2 linked regions of the Stegostoma tigrinum genome follow. The protein of the gene in region 1 purifies or fractionates together with the protein of each later gene. This does not show direct contact. Links are inferred from orthologs where the notes say so. Each region holds a gene or a part of one and is shown in the gene's direction. Other genes may lie near its edges.

The links.
Region 2: the proteins of pold3 (region 1) and sprtn purify together in Homo sapiens (affinity purification with mass spectrometry; 3 studies listed by BioGRID, with this or other methods). This does not show direct contact. The link is inferred for Stegostoma tigrinum from reciprocal best matches to the Homo sapiens genes POLD3 and SPRTN.

The regions. Positions count from the first base shown.
Region 1 is NC_081359.1:111,413,631-111,424,064, reverse strand, and holds the start of pold3 (DNA polymerase delta subunit 3), read left to right. Parts: upstream 1-5,729; 5' UTR 5,730-5,759; coding exon 5,760-5,840; intron 5,841-6,249; coding exon 6,250-6,305; intron 6,306-7,909; coding exon 7,910-8,012; intron 8,013-9,249; coding exon 9,250-9,289; intron 9,290-10,434. UniProt on the Homo sapiens protein: Accessory component of both the DNA polymerase delta complex and the DNA polymerase zeta complex.
Region 2 is NC_081357.1:94,379,440-94,389,564, forward strand, and holds the start of sprtn (DNA-dependent metalloprotease SPRTN), read left to right. Parts: upstream 1-5,368; 5' UTR 5,369-5,410; coding exon 5,411-5,655; intron 5,656-6,217; coding exon 6,218-6,317; intron 6,318-9,476; coding exon 9,477-9,605; intron 9,606-10,125. Other genes in the region: exoc8 (exocyst complex component 8), read right to left, coding at 2,519-4,723. UniProt on the Homo sapiens protein: DNA-dependent metalloendopeptidase that mediates the proteolytic cleavage of covalent DNA-protein cross-links (DPCs) during DNA synthesis, thereby playing a key role in maintaining genomic integrity.

The DNA.
Region 1 (10,434 bases):
TTTATTAATAAAGGGATCAAGTTCCGGAACCAAGAGCTTATGCTGCAGCCGTACAAAATTCTGGTGCGGCCGCACTTGGAGTATCGTGTACAGTTCTGGTCACCGCATTATAAGGAGGATGTGGAAGCTTTGGAAAGGGTGCAGAGGAGATTTACTAGGATGTTGCCTGGTATGGAGGGAAGGTCTTACGAGGAAAGGCTGGGGGACTTCAGGCTGTTTTCATTAGAGAGAAGAAGGTTGAGAGGTGACTTAATTGAAACATATAAAATAATCAGAGGGTTAGATAGGGTGGATAGGGAGAGCCTTTTTCCTAGGATGGTGACAGCAAGCACGAGGGGGCATAGCTTTAAATTGAGAGGTGAAAGATATAGGACAGATGTCAGAGGTAGTTTCTTTCCTCAGAGTAGTAAGGGAATGGAACACTTTGCCGGCAACGGTAGTAGATTTGCCAACTTGAAGTACATTTAAGCCATCATTGGACAAGCATATGGACGTACTTGGAATAGTGTACGTTAGATGGGCTTGAGATCAGTATGACAGGTCGGCACAACATTGAGGGCCGAAGGGCCTGTACTGTGCTGTAATTTTCTTATAAAAACCTTCTCTGGATCCCCTCCAACACTAACACATCGTTCCTCACATACAGGGACAAAACAGCTCACAATTTTCCAACTGCGGTCCAATCACAATCTTATACAGCCTCAGCAGATCGTCTCTGCTCTTTATTCTAGCCCTCTTGAAATGAATGCTAACATGGCATTTGCCTTCCTGACTGCAAAATATTTCTGAGCTAGGACTCCCAAGTCCCTTTGCTCACTAACAAACATGCTTCAAAATCTCCCCGTCCCCCACCACATCCCAAAACCAGCCCAGTTCGTCCCCTCCCCCCACTGCATCCCAAAACCAGCCCAGCCTGTCTCTGCCTCCCTAACCTGTTCTTCCTCTCACCCATCCCTTCCTCCCACCCCAAGCCACACCTCCGTCTCCTACCTACTAACCTCATCCCACCTCCTTGACCTGTCCGTCTTCCCTGGACTGACCTATCCCCTCCCTACCTCCCCACCTATACTCTCCTCTCTACCTATCTTCTTTTGTCTCCATCATCAGTCCGCCTTCCCCTCTCTCCCTATTTATTCCAGACCCCTCACCCCATCCCCCTCTCTGATGAAGGATCTAGGCCTGAAACGTCAGCTTTTGTGCTCCTGAGATGCTGCTTGGCCTGCTGTGTTCATCCAGCCTCACATTTTATTATCAGGAAGATAGTGACCTTGGTTCTGCAAGAATGACCTTGTTTGTGGTAACAAATGATACTGTTCCATCACTTTGTTGATGATTGTGAGCAGACTGATGGGGTGGGAATTAGCCAAGTACTGAGGAGGTGGGGAAGCTGCAGAAAGATTTAGACAGTTTAGGAACGTGGTCCAGGAAATGGCTGATGAAATTCAATGTGAGTAAATGTGAGGTTTTGCATTTTGGAAAAAAGAATACAGGCATGGACTATTTTCTAAATGGTGAGAAAATTCGTAAAGCAAAAGTACAAAGGGATCTGGGAGTGTTGGTCCAGGATTCTCTAAAGGTTAACTTGCAGGTAGAGTCCGTAATTAAGAAAGCGAATGTAATGTTGTCGTTTATCTCAAGAGGGTTGGAATATAAAAGCAGCGATGGGCTTCTGAGGCTTGATAAAGCTCTAGTTAGGCCCCATTTAGAATACTGTGTCCAATTTTGGGCCCCACACCTCAGGAAGGACATACTAGCCCTGGAGTGTGTCCAGCAGAGATTCACACGGATGATCCCTGGAATGGTAGGTTTAGCGTATGATGAACGGCTAAGGATCCTGGGATTGTACTCATTAGAGTTTAGAAGGTTGAGGGAAGATCTAATAGAAACTTACAAGATAATGTATGGCTTAGAAGGGGTGGACGTTAGGAAGTTGTTTCCGTTCCATTGAAATGCCCATCAGCCATGATTTAAATGGCAGAGTGGATTTGATGGGCCGAATGGCCTTACTTCCACTCCTATATCTTACGGTCTTATACATTTGTACTGTTTTTTGGTGCACAGAAAATACTTCAGATTCATAGAGTTAGTCATCGAGTTGTATAGCACAGAAACCCAATGGTCCAACTCATCTATGCTGACTAGATATCCTAAATAAATCTAGTCCTATTTGCCAGCATTTGGTCTATGTCCCTCTCAACCCTTCCAGATGCTTTTTCAATGTTGTAACTGTACCAGCCTCCACCACTTTCTTTGCCAGATCATTCCAAACATGCACTGTGAAAAAGTTGCCCCTTAAGTCCTTTTAAATCTTTCCCCTCTCACTTAAACATATGCCTTCTAGTTTTGGCTTCCCCACTCCAGGTTAAAGGCCTTGTCTATTTATCCTATCCATGCCCCTCAATTTTATAAACCTCCATAAGGTTATCTCTCAGCTTGCGACGCTCCAGGCAAAGCAGCCCCAGTCTATTCAGCCCTACCCTATAGCTCAAGCCGTCCAACCCTGGCAGCATCCTTGTAAATCTTTTCTGAACCCTTTCAAGTTTCACAACATTCTTCCTAAAGCAGGGAGAACAGAATTGCATGTAGCATTCCAATAGTGGCCTTACCAACATCCTGTATGTCTGCAACATGATCTTCCAACTCCTATACTCAGTGCATCGACCAATAAATGTAAGCATACCAAATACATTCATTACCCCATCTATCTAACTGCAACTCAATTTTCATGGAATAGTAACCTGCACTCCTAGAAAATCTGCCACATTTTTGGGTAGACGCCAATGTTGTGGCTACAATAGAACACTTGGCTCAGTAAATTTGTAGCTTTTCAAATTTTGGAGCACAACTGTTCATGACCTTTGCTGGAACGTTGCCAGGACCCATTGACTTTGCACTATCCATTAACTTCAACTGTTTCTTAAAATCATGAAGTGAAGTGAATCAAATTGATTGAAAATAGGGAACCTTCACAGGCTGAGATGGATCATCTATTCAGCCCTTTGGATTGAAGATGGATGCAAATATTTCAGCCTTGTCTTTTGAAATGATGTGCTAGGCTCCTCATCCTTGATGATGGGATATTTCTGAAGCCTTTTCCTCCAATGATTCACTTACTGACCATTACTGTTCACAACTGGATTTGGCAGGATTGCAAAGTTTAGTTCTGACCTGGAGACAATAAGGACTGCTGATGCCCGAATCCAGAGTCTTCAGACCCTTAGTTCTGATCGGTTAGTTGTGTAATCCTAGTGCTGCCTAATACTTGTCATTTGGCACACAAATAGTCCTGCGTTATAGCTTCATCAGGTTTTCACCTCATTTTAAGATTTGCTCAGTGATGCTGCTTGGAGCCCTCCTGCACTCTCCATCGAACATTGTTACTTAAGTGGAGGAGCAATTCATGACCCAAACACATTACATTGGACATACAACCTAAGGGGACTCAGTATGAACCTCAGGAAAATCACATCAATGCCATTGTGTCACCTGGCCCAAGTCTCCCTTGTTGGTTAGCACATTAAATTTTGGAGTTGGGAGGTCATATTCTGTTCTTCCTATCAGAAAGATGTTGTGAAACTTGAAAGGGTTCAGAAAAGATTTACAAGCATGTTGCTACATTTGAGGATTTGAGCTTTATCGAAAGGTTCAATTGGCTAGGGATATTTTCCCTGGCAAAGGCTGATGGGTGACCAGATAGAAGGTCAGAACGACCACGGACAAGGTGAATAGTCAAGGTCTTTTCTCCAGGGCATAGATTTAAGGTTAGAGGGGAAAGATTTAAAACAGACCCAAGGATCAACTTCTTTCATACAGAGGGTGGGGAGTGCATGGAATGAATTGTCAGAGGAAGTGGAGGAGGCTGGTACAATTGCAACATTTAAAAACCATGATGTGGCATGTGTTGGACTGGGGTGGACAAAGTCAGAAATCACAAAACACCAGGTTATAGTCCAACAGGTTTATCTGAAATTACAAGCTTTCCGACTGCTGCCCCTTTGTCAGGTAAAGCCCTGATGAAGGAGCAGTGCTGCAAAAGCTTATGGTTTCAAACAAACCTGTTGAACTATAACCTGGTATTGTGTGATTTCTAACATATGAAAAGCATCTGGATGGGTGTAGGAATAGGAAGGGTTTAAGAGGGATACAGACCAAATACTAGCAAATGGGACTAGATGAATTTAGGATGTCTGATTGGTACGAACAAGTTGGACTAAAGGATTGGTTTCCTGCTATACATCTATCTCTGTGACTTTATTAAATTTTGTTTTATCGCTACTTGGGGTAAAAGTGCCACTGGACTGGAAATATTAATCCTGTTTTCTCTGCATATATGATGCCCAACATACTGACTTTTTCCAGCAATTTTGTGCCCAATTTCCAACATCCACAGTTCTTTGATATTTTTTGTTTCATCACCACTTGGGGACCACCTTGGGATATTTCAAAATCAAAGAATGGTCACAGCATAGTAAAGTACCATTCTGAGATAACAAAGTGTGAAGCTGGATGAATGCAGCAGGCCAAGCTGCTGTGTTCATCCAGCTTCACGCTTTGTTATCTTGGATTCTCCAACATCTGCAGTTCCCATTATCTCTGATCACAAAATACCATGCTAGCTCTCTTCAGAAGCATTTTGGCTAGTGCTACTACCCTGCTTTTTCCTGTAGCTCTGCAAATGTTTCTTTTTTCAGATTATCCAATTACCATTAAAACCTATCCTCACGACATTTTCAGGCAGTATATTCCAGATCTTAATCCCTTGCTTTGGGAGGATGCGTTTTTCCCCTCACGCCTCGGTTTCTTCTATAGCCAATTCTGTTAAATCTTTGTACTCGTGTTCTTGGTCTTTTCACCTGTGGGAACTCCTACCTACTCCATACAGACCAAAGTTGTTTTTATTTTCTTTTCCTCCCCTCCTTCTGCACGGACGTCGGAGGTCGGTTATCTTCAGGGGCTTCCAAAAGCAGAAATCATGCAACAGCCTGACGATCTATGGGAGAGGTTCTGGGCAGTGTTCAAAGGAAAGTTAGTCGGCACCTCTCATCAGTTCGAACACCTCAATCAAATCTCCTCTGACCTGATCTGCTTCAAGGAAAACAGTCCCAACCTCTCCCATCTATCGATGTGACCCAACATTGACTATTACAAGTTTATAAACAGTGAGACTCTGTACTGGGTTTCTAATCATCACAAAACCTTCAGGCAGATAGTGAAATTCAACAACAAAATGTGAGGCTGGATGAACACAGCAGGCCAAGCAGCATCTCAGGAGCACAAAAGCTGACGTTTCGGGCCTAGACCCTTCATCGGAAAACGGGGATCCTTTATACCGCAATGCATTCTAATTTCATAGGCTCTTAAATAAATTGAGCTTGAACCGAGTTTTGAAAATTCAAACATTCCTTACCAATTCAGATGAATGTCACCAGCTCAAACCTGCAGCGTCGCCATCTTTGTAACCTTTAACCCCACCGCAATCCTTCGGCAGTAAAATACTTTATACTCATTTGCCCCCTCGTTGGTTCATGTTTTGCAATCCCCATGAAACGCCCTTCAGTAAAAAAAAAACAATGATTTTATTGTACGGTGATTTCTTTTCAGGGGTCCGGGCGACCGGCCTGGTTGCCGGGGAAACAGGCTCCTGCCAGCCGATGACCCTTGACCCCGAGGTTTCCACCGCCCCGCACGCGCAGGCTCCGCCCGCCGTAGACCCCGCCCCGTGACCTCTCACCCCTCCTCGCTTTCCCGCTTCGGCCGCGATGATGGAGGAGCTTGAGCTGCTGTTGGAGAATATCGAGGAGCTGGTGGCGGATGAGAACCGGATCGTGAGCGGGGGCAGGGTGTGAGGGATTATACACCCGGGAGAGAGGGACGGGGTCCGAATACACACCCGGAATATGTGTGCGCGCGCGCGCGTCCGGGATGCCGGGGGGGGCGTGTAAGGGGGAATATATATACCCGGGGTGGGTGGGTACATGAATGGGAGAATGTATGCCCAGGATTGGGGGTTGGAAGTGTGAGGGAATACATGGGGGGAATGGTGTTGGTGCGGCGGGGAATATACACCGCAGATGGGGGATATTCCCCCAATGTGGGGTTGAATATATACTAAAGAGAGCAGTTGCAGGGAAATATGTTGGAGTAATAGGAACATATGTCCTTGGTACGGAATGGATATACACCCCATTTGAAATGTAATTTCTTGTCTTGCTGCTGTACCTGTTTTTCTAGTTGGATTTTGTTTTTCAGGTCACCTACAAGATGCTGAGCCAGTTCCTGGGCATTCATGTCAACCAGGCAAAACAGTAAGTTCAATGATTTGTGAGACACCTTGCGTCACATTCCACCATCAAATAGTATGCAACAGAACCACTTCTCACAGTCAGATTTCCTGGAGAGGGATCCCTGTGTCACCCACATCTGCGGTGAGGAGTGGAGGGAATGGGCCAAATGTGAAGAGATTGTGGGTATAACAGTTGTGTGTGCTTCATTAGCATTTTGCTATCTGGCATCCTTATTGTTGTAAAACATGTTGCAATAGGTCTTGATAGCCTCAGGTAGGAACAGATCAGATAATAGGTCAACCGTAGTTCTTTCTTTTCATCTGACATAAATTGGAATGGTATGCATGTTGTGGACATATGTGTCACAGTTTGAAGGATGTGTGTCACACTTGTAAAATCTGACGTTAAATTTTCTAATATTTGAATATCATTTGTAAGAAAAAGCTTGCATTTATATTGTGGTCTTGTATAATAGAAGGTAAGATAATATTATAAGAGCAGGCATAGGCTATTTGGCTACTAGGTATAATCATTGCTGACCATCTGTTTTAGTACGCTGTTCCTACTTTGCCTGTGTACCCTTTGATCCCTTTAGTCCTGAGAACTATATCTAATTTCGTTCTTGAAAGCATTTAATGTTTTGGCCTCAACTGACTTCCGTGTCAGAGAATTCCACAGACTCACCAATCTCTGGGTGTAGAAGTTTCTCCTCAACTCAGTCCCCATATCCTTAGATTGCCACTGCTGGTTTTGGACATTTTCCTCATTGGGAAATCCTTCCCAGTTCCCAGCATTTTCCCAGTCCAATCCGCTTATAATTTTATAGATTTCTGTGAGAAAATGCCAGTAAATATAATCCCAGCCTGTCTTGATGCTTCAAGACCCGCTGAGGTTTTCCAGCACTTTCAGTTTCTATTCCACATGACCTCCCTGTTTACCAAGTCTCTGTTCATCTGTGTCTCCTTTCATGGCTGAGTGCCAAGTTTTAGATTTAATAGTTGTGAGATGCTCCGGAATGTTTTTCTATGTTAAAGTCGAGTTTAAATGCACTCGAGTTTAAATGGATGTTATTGAGAATTCTGGAGCTGATATTTTGAGTTTCATAGAATCCCTACAGTGTGAAAGTAGACCATTGGCCCATCAAGTTCACACCCACCCATACCCAATTCCCCTGCCTCATCCCTGTAACCCTGTATTTCCCGTGACTAATCTACCTAGCCCACACATCTTTGGACTCTGGGAAGAAACTGGATCACCCAGAGGAAGGCCATGCATGCAGATATGGGGAGAATGTGCAAAATCTACACAGACAGTTGCCTGAGGGTTCCTGGCACAGTGGAGCAGCTGGGCTAACTCCTCGGCCGCCCAAGATTTAGTGCCATTTCAATTGTTGCTACGTATTGGCTGCCCATGGCTATCTTCCTGTTACTAACTTTAGTAGCCCTCTTTTGCTGAGAGATTCTGCTAGGGTCCATTAAGGAGTTTGTATGGATCTTTTAGCAACTGCTTTTGAAAACAAGGTTTGTCTGCCTGGTTGTGAGACCGATCTTGTTCACCAGTTTAGCTTTGTTGCAAGAGGTTTTGTACCTTTAACTGTGTCATTTTCTCTTCTGTCTGCTTCCCAGAATGCTTTATTACTACGTGGAGCGAAAGCGGAAAGAAAATTCTGGAGCCCAGCTCCATGTGACGTATCTCGTGTCAGGGAAAGCAGTCGAAAATGGAATATCGGTATGTCTATTTGGAACAATTAGTGACATCAGAAAAGTCGACATTAGGAATTGTCAGGACCACTTTTTCACATCCTCTCACTTTTCTATTGTGGAATGCCTAAGGGCAAATAGCCCACCAAGTTTGTGGATTTCATCGCAAACAAATCGCATTCACCTCATCTATCCTTTAAGACCGCTCCCAGTCTAATCCCACTTTTCTGCTCACTCCATGTATCCTTTAGTTAGATTATCAGAAGTAGGAGCAAGGGGAAAGTATTGATCCGTCAATGCAGTTTAGTCGTTCAATAAGATGACAATTGATATGATTACAACCTTAACATCATTTTCCTGCATGTCTCCCCTTCATATTTCCCCCACCATGACTACCACCACCACTCTCCCTTAACCTTAACACTACTTGTTGGTCTGAAATTTGCCTAACTCACCACTGAATATAGTCAATGATCCAGCCTCCACTGTTGTCTGACGTAAAGAATTCCAAAGACGAATTATCTTTTGAGAGAAGAAATGTTTCATGTATCCACCTCAAATGAGAAGTTCCTTATTTTGAAATAAAAGCAAAGTATTGAAGAACTGAAATTAAACAAAGTGTTGAAGAAACTGCAGATCTGGCAGTATTGGTTCTGAAGAAAAGTCATTGCACGCTAAACATTAATTCTGTTCCTCTCTCGCAGATGCTGCCAGATTCTAGTACTTTCTTCCCTCAATTTGAAATATCCTCTCAGTTTTCAATGTCAGAATCCCATAGGATCTTGTACATTTGAATGGGGTCACCTCTCATTACTAAACTAATTATTCAGCCCCTTTTATGATAATCTATAGCTTTATCAGCCTAATTACTCTACTCATTCTTTAAAATATGGTCCCATGCTTGCTTCGGGGATGCATGTATCTCTGGTGTGCCGCTCAGTCACATACAGTAAGAGAATCTCAGGTTCCAGCCTTGATCTGTACTGAATTAGCTGATCTCACCCAGGACATACTTGATTGCTACAGTTGGGCTCAATGCTGCTTGCTGGGGAGAGACTTGCTTCCTGATCTCTGTTACAACAGCACCCTCCAACATAAGCACTGACAAAGATTACAACTGGCATCACATCATCACAAAGGCTTTCTTAAGCAGAATTGGTTGTATGGGCTTGAGATGCTGAGATGTGGCCTGGTAGTCTATCCTTGGATAGAGAGTTTAACTGGCTGGCTGATCACCCACTAACTCCAATATTGCTTTATTCCAGTGTCACAAGGTAGCAGTGGTGAGAGAAGATCAGCTGGAAGGTAAGAGTAGACACCTACACTTAACCCAGTTATCCACATCTGCAAGCCCCTCAAGGCTTTGACCAATTGTTTCTTGGAGACAACAGCATCTGTCTTTTGTGATACTGTGATCCTTCTGCACCAGGCACAGTGCTCAAATTGCGTGTGTTGAAATGAGAAACATCAACTCCCCCTCGGGAGAACAGAGAAACTAAATAGTTCTATTTTGAGGTGAGAAACCCGTTGGGCAATTCTGCCCTTTGCTCATTGGCCAGTTTGAAAGAAGGAAATAGATGTTCTGACTTAGGAGTTACACAAAGTTTTCAGGTACAGCACATAATCGAGAAGGCTAATGGAATGCTATCCTTCATGATGAGAGGAATTGAGTATAAAATTGACAATGTTCTGCCTCAATTATACAGAATGTTTTGAGACCACATCTCAAGTACTGTGTGCTGTTTTGGCCTCCTTATTCAAGGAAGGATACAATTGAAGGTGGTTCAGAGGAGGTTTACTGGATTGATAACTGCAGTAAGTGGGTTGTTTGATGAGACTAGTTTGGTTGGAGAGGGGTGACTTGTTTGAAATACATAAGATCCTGATGGCCTTGAAAGGTGGAAGTGGAAAGCATGTCTCCCTTCGTGAGTCAGTTCAGAACCAGGGGCCAATTTTAAAATTAGGCTTCATCCTTCCAGGACAGAACTTGGGAGTAGAATTTTTTTCTGAAGGTTGTGAAACTCTGACTCAGAAAGCAGTGGGGGAGTTATTGAATTTTTTTCAGACAGTTCTTTAGGATTGGATGGGAATGTGGAATTCTAAGCAAACAGATGAGTCATGATCTTGTTGAATGTGAAGTAGACTTGACAGGCCATATGGTTTCCTTCTGCTTATGTTTTGAGTATTCATATGGCCTACATTGGCTCCCAGTTAAGCAGCCTCAATGTTTAAAACTTATGAATTGTTTTCAATCCGCTCTATCTCTGTACTACCTTCCAGACACTCAGCCCTTATATCTCTGTACTTCAATTCTGGCCTCTTGCAAATGCCTGATTTTGACTGCTGCACCACAGCTGGCTCTGTCTTCAGCTGCCAATGTCCTAAGCTACCTCAGATTTATCTCTGTTTTCTATGTCTTTGTTTTCTTTTTACGATGTTTTCATAGGTAA
Region 2 (10,125 bases), on another chromosome or scaffold:
TTTGGTAGTACAGAACCTGAATACTGCTGAAGCAAATTATATTTAAAAAGGACAAATAATTTCATAACACAGGAAAATAATATTTAAAAGGGCAAATAACTCCATAACACACGTAGGTTAAACCATAGGACATCACTATGGTGTCAGCTTTGGTTCCGTGCCCAGCAAATAGCCGGTTCACATTAGACATGAGCACAAGTCCTAAGTGAACAAACTTAGTGCAATACTGAAAGAATGCCATATTGGTTGCAAGTGCTCAAATGAGGGGCCGTATGAACCATCCATTCACTGTCTCAGGTGGATACCAAACAAAGAGTATGGGGGCTCTCTCCAGTGTCTTTGCCAACAAACATATTCCACAACCAATGTCAAACTTAATCAATATCATTATTTACCATCATATAATCACTGTGTTCGGGACCTTGCAGCGTGCAATTTAACTGCCACATTCCTTTTAACAGTGGTTACACTTCAAAAATACTTCTAAGTGCTTTGAGCTGCAAGCAGTTGTTGCAAATTCATTTTTTGTTTCCAGTATATTTTTTTGTTTATTATTTTCATTTCTAGAAACTGTGCATTGCAAACACATATCAAAAGTAATTCGCCTTACTACATTTTATTGTGTGTAATGTGAAAATGTTTAAACAAAGAGTATATTCAGTTTCTGTGATCTATCAGAACAAGTTGGACTACTGTTACAAATCCGAAGTCTTGGTAAGATAGTCCAACATGTAATGAATTTTAAGAAAATAAAACTGAAGGAGTGAAGAGTCGTTATCTATGAATTCTGCCCAACAAGTCATGTGCCTTGGGTACCTCAGAGGCTGAAATGCACTGCCAAGGTTAACCTTAATGACAAAGGCAGAAGCAAAACAGTCTTCTTATTGCAAAGTTCGCCTAAAAAGACTTAGAGAGTGAGAGCATGAGTGAGAGAGAGTGCGCTCTGTTAGTTACCAGGCTAAATCATGAAAAACAGCTTGACCAGGGTCAAAGAAAACAAACCCGCAGTAACTAACAGGACACTGGAAGATTTACCCTTGTGAGGCTATGAGGAGAAATCACCCTTAGGCCTTAATGATAAAGGTTGGTTTGGAAATTCTCAAGAGTACAAAAAAAAAGGATTTCGGACAGTTGCTCCATGTTACATTGCAGTGAAATGGGAACATGTTGAAAGTTGGGAATAACTTTGAACTGTTTACTGAAACGACTGCAATTTTGCAGAAAGCATGCTGTAACTATATGGGTTGGAATTATTGGCCATATTTAAAAAAAGGAATAAGTTTTCTTTTCAGGAGATTAGAACATCAATTACCAACTTAGTAGTCAAAATCAATTTTTGTTTGGTTTGATAGCAAGGGTCAATAATAAGATTTTTATAGGAATTCATTTATTTATTGTGAAATGTCACCAAGGTGCTTCTCAACACGTTGGAAAACAAAACTTGACAGCATGCTACATAAGGACACATTAGGGCAGGTGATCGAAACTTGGTTAAGGCAGGCGGGATTTCATTAACACCTTTCTAATTATTACTCCAGATTTACAACTATGACTGTAAATCTTCCACAAGTTAAAGATCATGACTCTGAATTTACACCAATGCACTGAGTGCATACAACAGCACTACAGGCACTGAATTCAAATACAAAATATATTTCTATAGTTGGCGCATGCAAAAAGAAAGCAACCGTGGGAGCTGTCTTAATTCTTTCAGGTCATCATATCTAACAATGAAGAAGTGCTATTTCAATGAGCTGCAAATTGATATCAACAGCCAGAACCAATAAATCTAGACATGTTCAGAAATAAAAAGAAACTAAAATCAGATGTTAGAAAAATAATCATTCACATTGGGATTAGTTACAACCTACAATTCTTTGCCATAAATTAAACTAAAAGGGGACATGTTGGTTGAAAACAGACTTGGTCAGGACGGTGACACTATGTTAGAGTAGCATCAATGCATACTTTAAGATATAATGCCCTGTTTCTGCGTTCAACATGCCATGACTCTATGAAACAGCGGTCTCCGCATGTTTTAGTCGTTGCTGAAATAGATGTACTTCCCTGTGACTTAAAAGGCTGAAACTCTTTTTAAGTGTTCCATAATTCTGAGAAGTTTTAAAAAAAAACCCAGTTTTGGCATTTAGAATTCAAATGTAATCTTCCTATGCTGAATTCTGATCAGCTGAACAGCAAAGACTTTCTCATCAAGTTCAATTGTTCTTGCATAGCGGTGTTCTGATTAAAACAAATACCAATACTGCCACAAGTGCTTTTACTAGTGGAATACAACAGGACACAAAAATACAGGACAGGTGAAATTGAAATTGGCAGCTCACATCTACTGGAGAACATTGATCTTCATGTTGTATATTTATTAAGGTAGCGAGTTCATGATGAGTCCCACAAACAATGTTTATGCAGCATTAGTGTTGAAGCAATTAATAAAAAAAAAGTGTATGCTTGTGCAGGGAATGTCTGCAATCATTGGTTTATCTGTAAGTGCTCCTAGAGTTTATACAAATGAATTAGTGCTTTCTGGATTGACACGAATGATTCGAGATCCATTGCGGAGATCCTGGAGCTGCTTGGCTGGTGTTCCAACTCCTTCCTCAAACCGTCTCTCCACCACAGGGAGCACAGTCTCATACAGGAATGAAACATTCTCACGAATGAAGACTTTCTTTTCTGGGTCCTGCTCACAGCGCAGGCTGTAGTCAACATGCTGCACTGCCACCAGGATGATCTCACGCAGGCTTTCCAAAAGGACCATGTGCAGCTCAGGGAAGTATAGCTTCAGCCCTTCCTCCAAGAAGGCCATCAGCTGTTTTGTGAAGGCCACAATGGTGTAGCTGAGATTGACCCAGCAGTCATCTCCAGTGTACTGATCAAAATTGGTGATTCCACTGGCTTTCATCTCCTCCTTCAATTTTGCCAAGGCCTCCGGTGTCATCAAGTTCATTCTTCGCCACATCTCTTCTGAATTTCTGTGCTTGGTGGCCTCCATGATGATGCCCTTGTAGCTGTGCAGGGCTGCCTTAATATCTTTGACGAGCAGTGCCTGAAGAGTAAAGGTGAGGTCCAGGCCGATCTCACTGAGCTTGCTGCAGTGTTCTTTGGCCACCTCCACGCACTCAGCTGTGGTGGACAGGCTCTCCTTGCTGTCAAATACCTGCTTGCTGAAGGCATCCACAAACAGCCGGGTGGCTGAGCGTGACCACACCACAAAGGCCGAGTAACAGCCACTGTCACCAGCAAAATCCATCTCAAATTCCTTGGCCGTGTCCAGCAGGCCAGTGAAGAAGATGTTGCAGAGTTTGTGGATGTACAGCAGGGTAGCTCCCTCGATGCGCAGCTGCCTGATTGCTGTCTGCACTGCAGCTGCCCGGTTCTTCAGGAAGAGCTCGCAGGCTTTAGTGGACTGACCCAGCCGGATCAGCTGAGAAACAGCACGGCGGGTTGCCCGTGGACCACCTCGGAGCGAGCGGCCAGGGGATAGCTCATACATCAGCACATCAGTCAGACGGCGGACCCGCTGATCCACACGACTCCTCAGCTGGCGCACCGCGGGCTGGCTGGTTGCTCTACTCAGGTACTCGTTCAATTTGTCCAGTAAGTCAACAGCGCCTTCAAAGTCCCGCTGAGCAATACAGACATCCAGGTCTTCGGGCAGCTCTTGAATCCATTCCAGGCTCAGGTCCACCAACTCCATGGCTGGATCAGACTCATCCTCAAATGGGTTAGTTTTCGGTGACAGAGGCCTCTGTTGCTTCTCTTCCTCGGCCACCAGCAGCCGGGCCTTGGCTTCCTCTTTCTCCACCTCCAAGCGCTCAGTCAGGGCCTTGTTCTTCTTGGTTTGGTCCAGGATCTCCAGCCACTCCTTCTTGACCTTGGCGTTCTCGGCCTGGAAGACCCGCGTGTCGGGGAACATGAGGATCTTGAACATGTCCCGCATGGGCCCGTTGTCCTTGACATTGACCACGGCGAAGCTATCCAGTGGATACAGGGCGTCGTAGCGGTAGCGAACAGCCCCGCGGCGGCTGGGCAGCCAGGCAGCCACCAGCAGGCAGTCGTTCATCAGGAAAGCGTGCACCCTCTGGATCTGAGCTGCGCTCTCGGCATCGCACTCAAGCAGGTCACCGTTGTAGACCAGGTAGCGGCCCGGGGTTTGCAGGATGTCCTGGCAGCCTTCCACCTTCTCCAGCAGGGTGGTGAGGGTGCGCTGCTTGTGCTCCTCGGCCTCCCGGGGCAGGATAAGGAAGGCTTCGGAGGAGGAGGAGGTGGAGGTGGTGGTGGTGGTGGTGGTAGTTGTGGTGGAGGAGCCGAGAGAGGACGATGAGGTCCCGCCAGCCGTGCCCATGGAGGCTTGCAGCTGGCGGGATCCCTGTTGCTGCTGCTGTTCCCTGTCGGCGGTCAGCAGCATCTGGGTCAGGCCGTCCATGATCCCCTTCTGCTCGGTGAGGATGTGACTGAGCTGGTACATCTCACTCTCCAGGTAGGAGATCTCCCGGGCCGTCTCGATAAATTGCCGGTAGTTCTTGTAGACATTCTTCTTCAGGTTCTGTGCCGTCTCATCGGCCAGGCTCTGGATCTTGTGTCGGTGCTCCTGCAGGTCGCGGTCACCATCTGACTGCTGCGACAGCTGCTTCACGTACTGGGCCGGCTCGAAGCGGGGGGTTTCCAGCTGCCGCCGGAGCCTGGAGGCCACGTCCGCCGCCATCTTGCCGCCGCCGGTGGGAGGTTGATTTAGCCACCCCACCACAATATATACCGCCCTCGGGTTTTTCACAACTGCTCCCGTCCGGCCTCCACGCTCGGGGGCCCTGCTCTCTGCGTCAGGTCGCTCCTCCAAACGACTACCGAGGCCTGGGCTCCGCCGCTCATCTGCAGCCTCCAATTGGCTGGCCGTCAGCAACGACCCGCAGTCCCATTGGTCACACTGCGCCAATACTGACTTCTGACTGGTGCGCCGCCAGCAGTAATCCGCTCTCCTATTGGCCACGCTGTGGCGGTTCCGGCGTCCGATTGGTTGCCGTGCTCCCCGTGACCCGCAGTCCCATTCGTCGCTCTGACAGCTGTCTAGATCATGATTGGCTGTCTGTCTTTAATTGTGCGCTTGCATGAGGAAGAGTCACCGGAACTCTGATCTTTTTCTTCACAGATGACCAGACCTGCTGAGCTTTTTTTTGTGCTTGGCTGTTGATTTGCTTCTCCAATGCTGACTTTGCATTGGTTAACGTTGGTAGTCCCATTCTGATTTGTCATTGGGTGGCCCGTGGTATCATCCTGCGCTGCCATTGGCTGTTATGTTTGCGGCTCCATCATGTGATTCGCCAAGTAAAGGGAGAGGCCCTACCTCCGTTTGTCTACGTCAGTTGGGTGGTTGCAGGAGGCGGTGCTGAGCGGTATGGATGGTGATTTGTTGTTGGCGCTTCAGTTGCAGGCCTCCTGGGACGAGGAGGACCGTAGCGATGCCAGCTCGAGCCCTGGTATGGTCCCGCAGCCTCCGGCGTCTCTGTCCGTGGTGGACCCGGATTGGGAGCTGATCGACCCGAACCCCGACCTGCACGGCCTCTTCCTGCAGTTTAATGACTTGTATTTCTGGGGCCGGCTGTCCGGGGTGGAGGTTCGCTGGAGCCCGCGGATGACTCTGTGAGTTGTGGATAGGCCGCGGCTTCACCGCGGTTTGCTGAAAGGGGAGTCGGTGCTTCCCGCGATATCCCACTCCCCTGTCTCCTTGTTGAAGCCGGTCAACAAAACTTAGCGTCAATATCCAATCCAGAAGACTACGGCACAAATAATAGCTGACTCTGAGAACTGCAGATGCTGGAGTCGGAGATAAAACAGTGTGGAGCTGGAGGAGCACAGCAGGTCAGGCAACACCAGAAAAGCAGGGGCCGAAATGGCATCTTGCCTGCTCTTCTGATGCTGCAGTGCTCCTCCACCTCCACTCTGTTATCTCTACAAATAATAGCTGTACTTTTTTCTTGCATGTGCTGAAAAGACCTGCTCATTGAAGGAGGGAATCTGGAATCTTGAATCTCAATTTTTGCCATCTTTTCCTTTACAAAAAAATCGCTCTAAACAAAGTTGGATAGACTTGACAATGCACTTTTGACATCTGCATTAAATCTTCACTCTTGTTGATTGTTTGTGCTACTTGCTGTTTCTCATGCTGAATAAATTGAGCTTACCTACTGTGGATCTGTTACAGTTGTGCGGGTGTGTGCAGCTATGAGGGCAGAGGAGGATTGTGTTCTATACGTATCAGTGAACCTTTGCTGAAACTGCGACCCAGGCGAGACTTGGTTGAGGTATGTGCTGATTGTGTCAATACTGTGACCTCTGGTATTTCCTTCCTACAAGAAGTAGGCTGGTGTGCTGATAAAATTCTGATTTCACTTCAGACTTAACTTCAAACATTATTTGCAGCCTCTGTTCTGGCATTAAGTGTGCCTGGTCAATTGAGTCTACTCTACAAGTAGGCAGTTCAGCCTGTTAACATACTCTGTAATTTAGTTAGCCTGTGACTGTGTTCTCTTTGCAACACTTTTTTTTAGAAATTGTGGCTGGTGAATCTGTGGTCCTAACTGCACTGATCTCCCCCAGGTTAGGAATTTCTTCTGCAAGGATGCTTCTGTGGAACATGATCCTTTCTTCAGGATAGTGTTAATGATGGAAGGTCCATATACTTCCCACCCTCCTTGCATTGTAATAAGTTCAAGGCTGCTCCCTCTGTTGAAAGTTTTTATAGTTCTGAAATTCCAAGGGTATCAGGTTTGCATTACCTCAGAAATCACTGATGTAGTGACAGTAACGTGTTCTCTGCTAAGGTGGTAGATTTCCATATTGTAACTTCAGATAAATGACTGATGCAGAGGGACATCTGAAGAAAATGAATTTAAAAATCTATGAACGTAAACTATTTTTCTTGCTGTCTGGCTACTTGTCCCACATGTCCATTTATCCTATAAATTGACATTTTTGAGGATAACTGGTGGGGTTAAGCTGCACAGCTTCTGCTTAGCAAAAGCTTTTTTGATTTTGACTGAGGTGTCTGTCTAGCTTGTTTGAGCTGGCTGAAATGAAAATATTTTAGCGATGAAGCAAACTATGTATTTATTGGAAACACAAGCCAAAGGGCCACAGATGCTGGAAAGCCAAAACAGACTCTTGTTTACAATAATAACAAACCAGAAATTACAGTAGAAACTCAGCAGGTCTGGTAGTTTTGAAAGATGGGTCACTGGACTTGAAACTTTGATTCTGCTTTCTCTCCAGATGTCACTGGACCTATGTTTCTTCAAGTTGTTTGTGTTATTGAAAACACAAATCTGTTCAGATTTCCAGCATTTGCAGTTTTTATTTTTATTATATTTTTATTGGAGTTTGGGGATGAAAGTGATGCTTCCCTGTGCAAACATGAAAAGCCTGATAACTTGAAGAAAACTTCTTTTTAGTAACTCTACCATTTGTAGAGAGGATTTCTATCTTTTCTGCAATCCCTCAGTCATGCTGCTTATCCTTCCATAACCAGGAAGAGGTGCATCCCAGATAACTGGAATCACAGAAGCAACTAAATCAGTCTTAACCGGAAGTAATGAAAGTATCTTGCATCAAATCCTAGCTGAATTTCACTTGCTACACACAGTGGAGCACTCTGCTAGTGAAGAGGATAATTGTACAGGGTTTCAAACTTACAACAGGTCGGAGCAAAAAAGTGGTTACATTTGGAAAGGTAGTACGATGAATATTTAGCGAATTCAGTTGCAAGTATGCCTGGTGTAATCTCTGGGAGACTTCAAAAGCTGAAGTAGAACTCCCAGTCAGTAATAGTGAGGCAAATCTCAAATTTGGCCATGACTACTTTTTTGTTTGGACCTTAACTACTTTTAGTCTCAAAAACTATGGATTTTTAACTTGATAAAGTGGGGCATTTTTATTTTAAAGTGAGCATCTTTTATACCTCAGATGTACATACAGATTTCATGCAGTTTGAGCTTTTTAAATGGTTGTATTGGCATCCATTGAAGGCAGTTTGCATCAATATTGGTTTCTTTCCAGCTTGCTCCAGGCCAAATAACCATCTTAAATCCAAATTCCCTTGGAGCTTTTAGTATATCTTTTTTAACTGCAATCTCAGATAAAACCAGCAAGTCATATCCCTTAAGTAACAGGTTTACTGTATTATTGCAGTCTTAGCAATGTACAAGTAATCAGTTGAGGGTGCAAATGAGATGACTGTCTTAAGGTTGCATCATATTTAAGTAATTTAATTCATTCTGTAATTAAAGTATGTGTGCATACCCATTGCATTATGTTTCTATTACTCAGGTGTGTTTTTACACATTGAGGACCTCTCTTAATTAACTGGAATACTTGAACAATAGATACATCTTATTAAAGAGGTTGACCCCACCCCAGCCTCTGATAACTAACTGAAACCGAAACACCCTAGAGAAGATAGCCTCTCCTCCTCGTTTCTTAGAGCAAGTGTGAAAAGTGATAGTCTGCCTCTCACTGCCCAATCTGTTATAAAGGGGAGGTTAAATGAAATGAGGTCCTGACAGTCTCACTCTAGATCAGCAAGTAACAATTTAACTACTCGAACCATAAACAAATAAACATAACTACTTAGAAACTGAACAATTGTCCCCCCTGAACTAGAAACTATTCCAGGATAAGACAAAATTCTATTGGTATGCTATAGTAAATAGAAGTCCTACACTTATAAATCAAATTTAATTAAAAAGTACTTAATCTCTCAATTTACAACTAGAAATGTCTTCTGGAATGTCTAGTGCCTTCTCCACTGTCCTTCAGTCAGGCGTGCCTTTCCCTGTCAAATTCTTGCCAGGAATATTAGCTGGAAATGTCATAAGTTTAGTCACATGATGGTTTTAGAGAGCTTGGAGAATTCTGAAAGCCAGTGTTTTTTCTCCTCTTGGAGCTGCTGGTTGTTAACTTTGAACAGATGGCAGCTGCTCACATACCAGTTTTTCAAATGATCTTTTCTTGTATACCCTTGATGACCTCTTAATTTCTTACAAAAGGTTGTCAAAACCATCACATTTAAATTTAATTGGGTTTTGGTATCTAGGGCCTGGTTTAAATTAATTAGCTAAATTCAAAAACCTGTTGTTGGAGTAAAAATGCTGCTTTGTCTGCTGACAGTATAGCCTTTTTGGTACATTGTTTCAGTTTCAAATCTCTGCATCTGCTGCCTGGAGACTCTCTCTCCTTTTTTTAAAAAAGATCTTTAAGCCTAAAAAAACCCCAACTTTTAAAGGGACCATACTTCCTTTCTCCCTGCTCCCCCCACCCAAACAATATTTTACATCCGTGTCTACTGTTGCAAAGTTGGGTACACTCCTGGTCCATAAGTGCCAGTTAGCAAAAAAGTTGCATTTGTACATAGTCAATTTGCTGAGCATTTTCATAAATTTAATCACAACCTTTTGGTTTCCCAATAGACATTATTACATGAAATGATCCATGCCTTGCTGTTTGTCACAAATAATGACAAAGACCATGAGTCTCATGGCCCTGAGTTCTGCAAACACATGCGAAGGATCAACAGGATGAGTGGAGCCAATGTGACAGTAAGTACCAGAGGCAGGATTACATAAGAATGATGTCTGCCCCTGCAGGGCCCATTTATCACATGTAAGATCCTTGGTTTTTTTTGTTTTAAACGTATGGAGGAGCTAATGTGATACTTTGCAAGGAGGATTTTTAGCTTTGACCTGAGCTGAGATCAGATGGGAGAGGATTTTGGTAAGAATCAATTTTTGTATCCAAAAGGAAGAGGAGGTCTGTTTATCCCAACCTTGCATGTGAGGGCTTTACATCTCAATGTTTATTTTGGTTTGTCTTTTTTAGATGAGAGCTGTGAATGTTTAAGTTGTGTAACCCGTTCCACTCCTATGACCCTGATTTCCAATGGTAAAGTGCCTTCAGATCCTTGACCCTAAATCTGGACTTACTTTCCTAAACTCCTTTGCTTATCCTCTTTAGCTAATATTCCCTTCTGTGACTCTGCTTGTCTGTCTGCTTATCCTGTGAAGCAACTTGGAGAGATATATGAAGTTCAACTTGATTGAACCGAAGGCTGGTTATAAA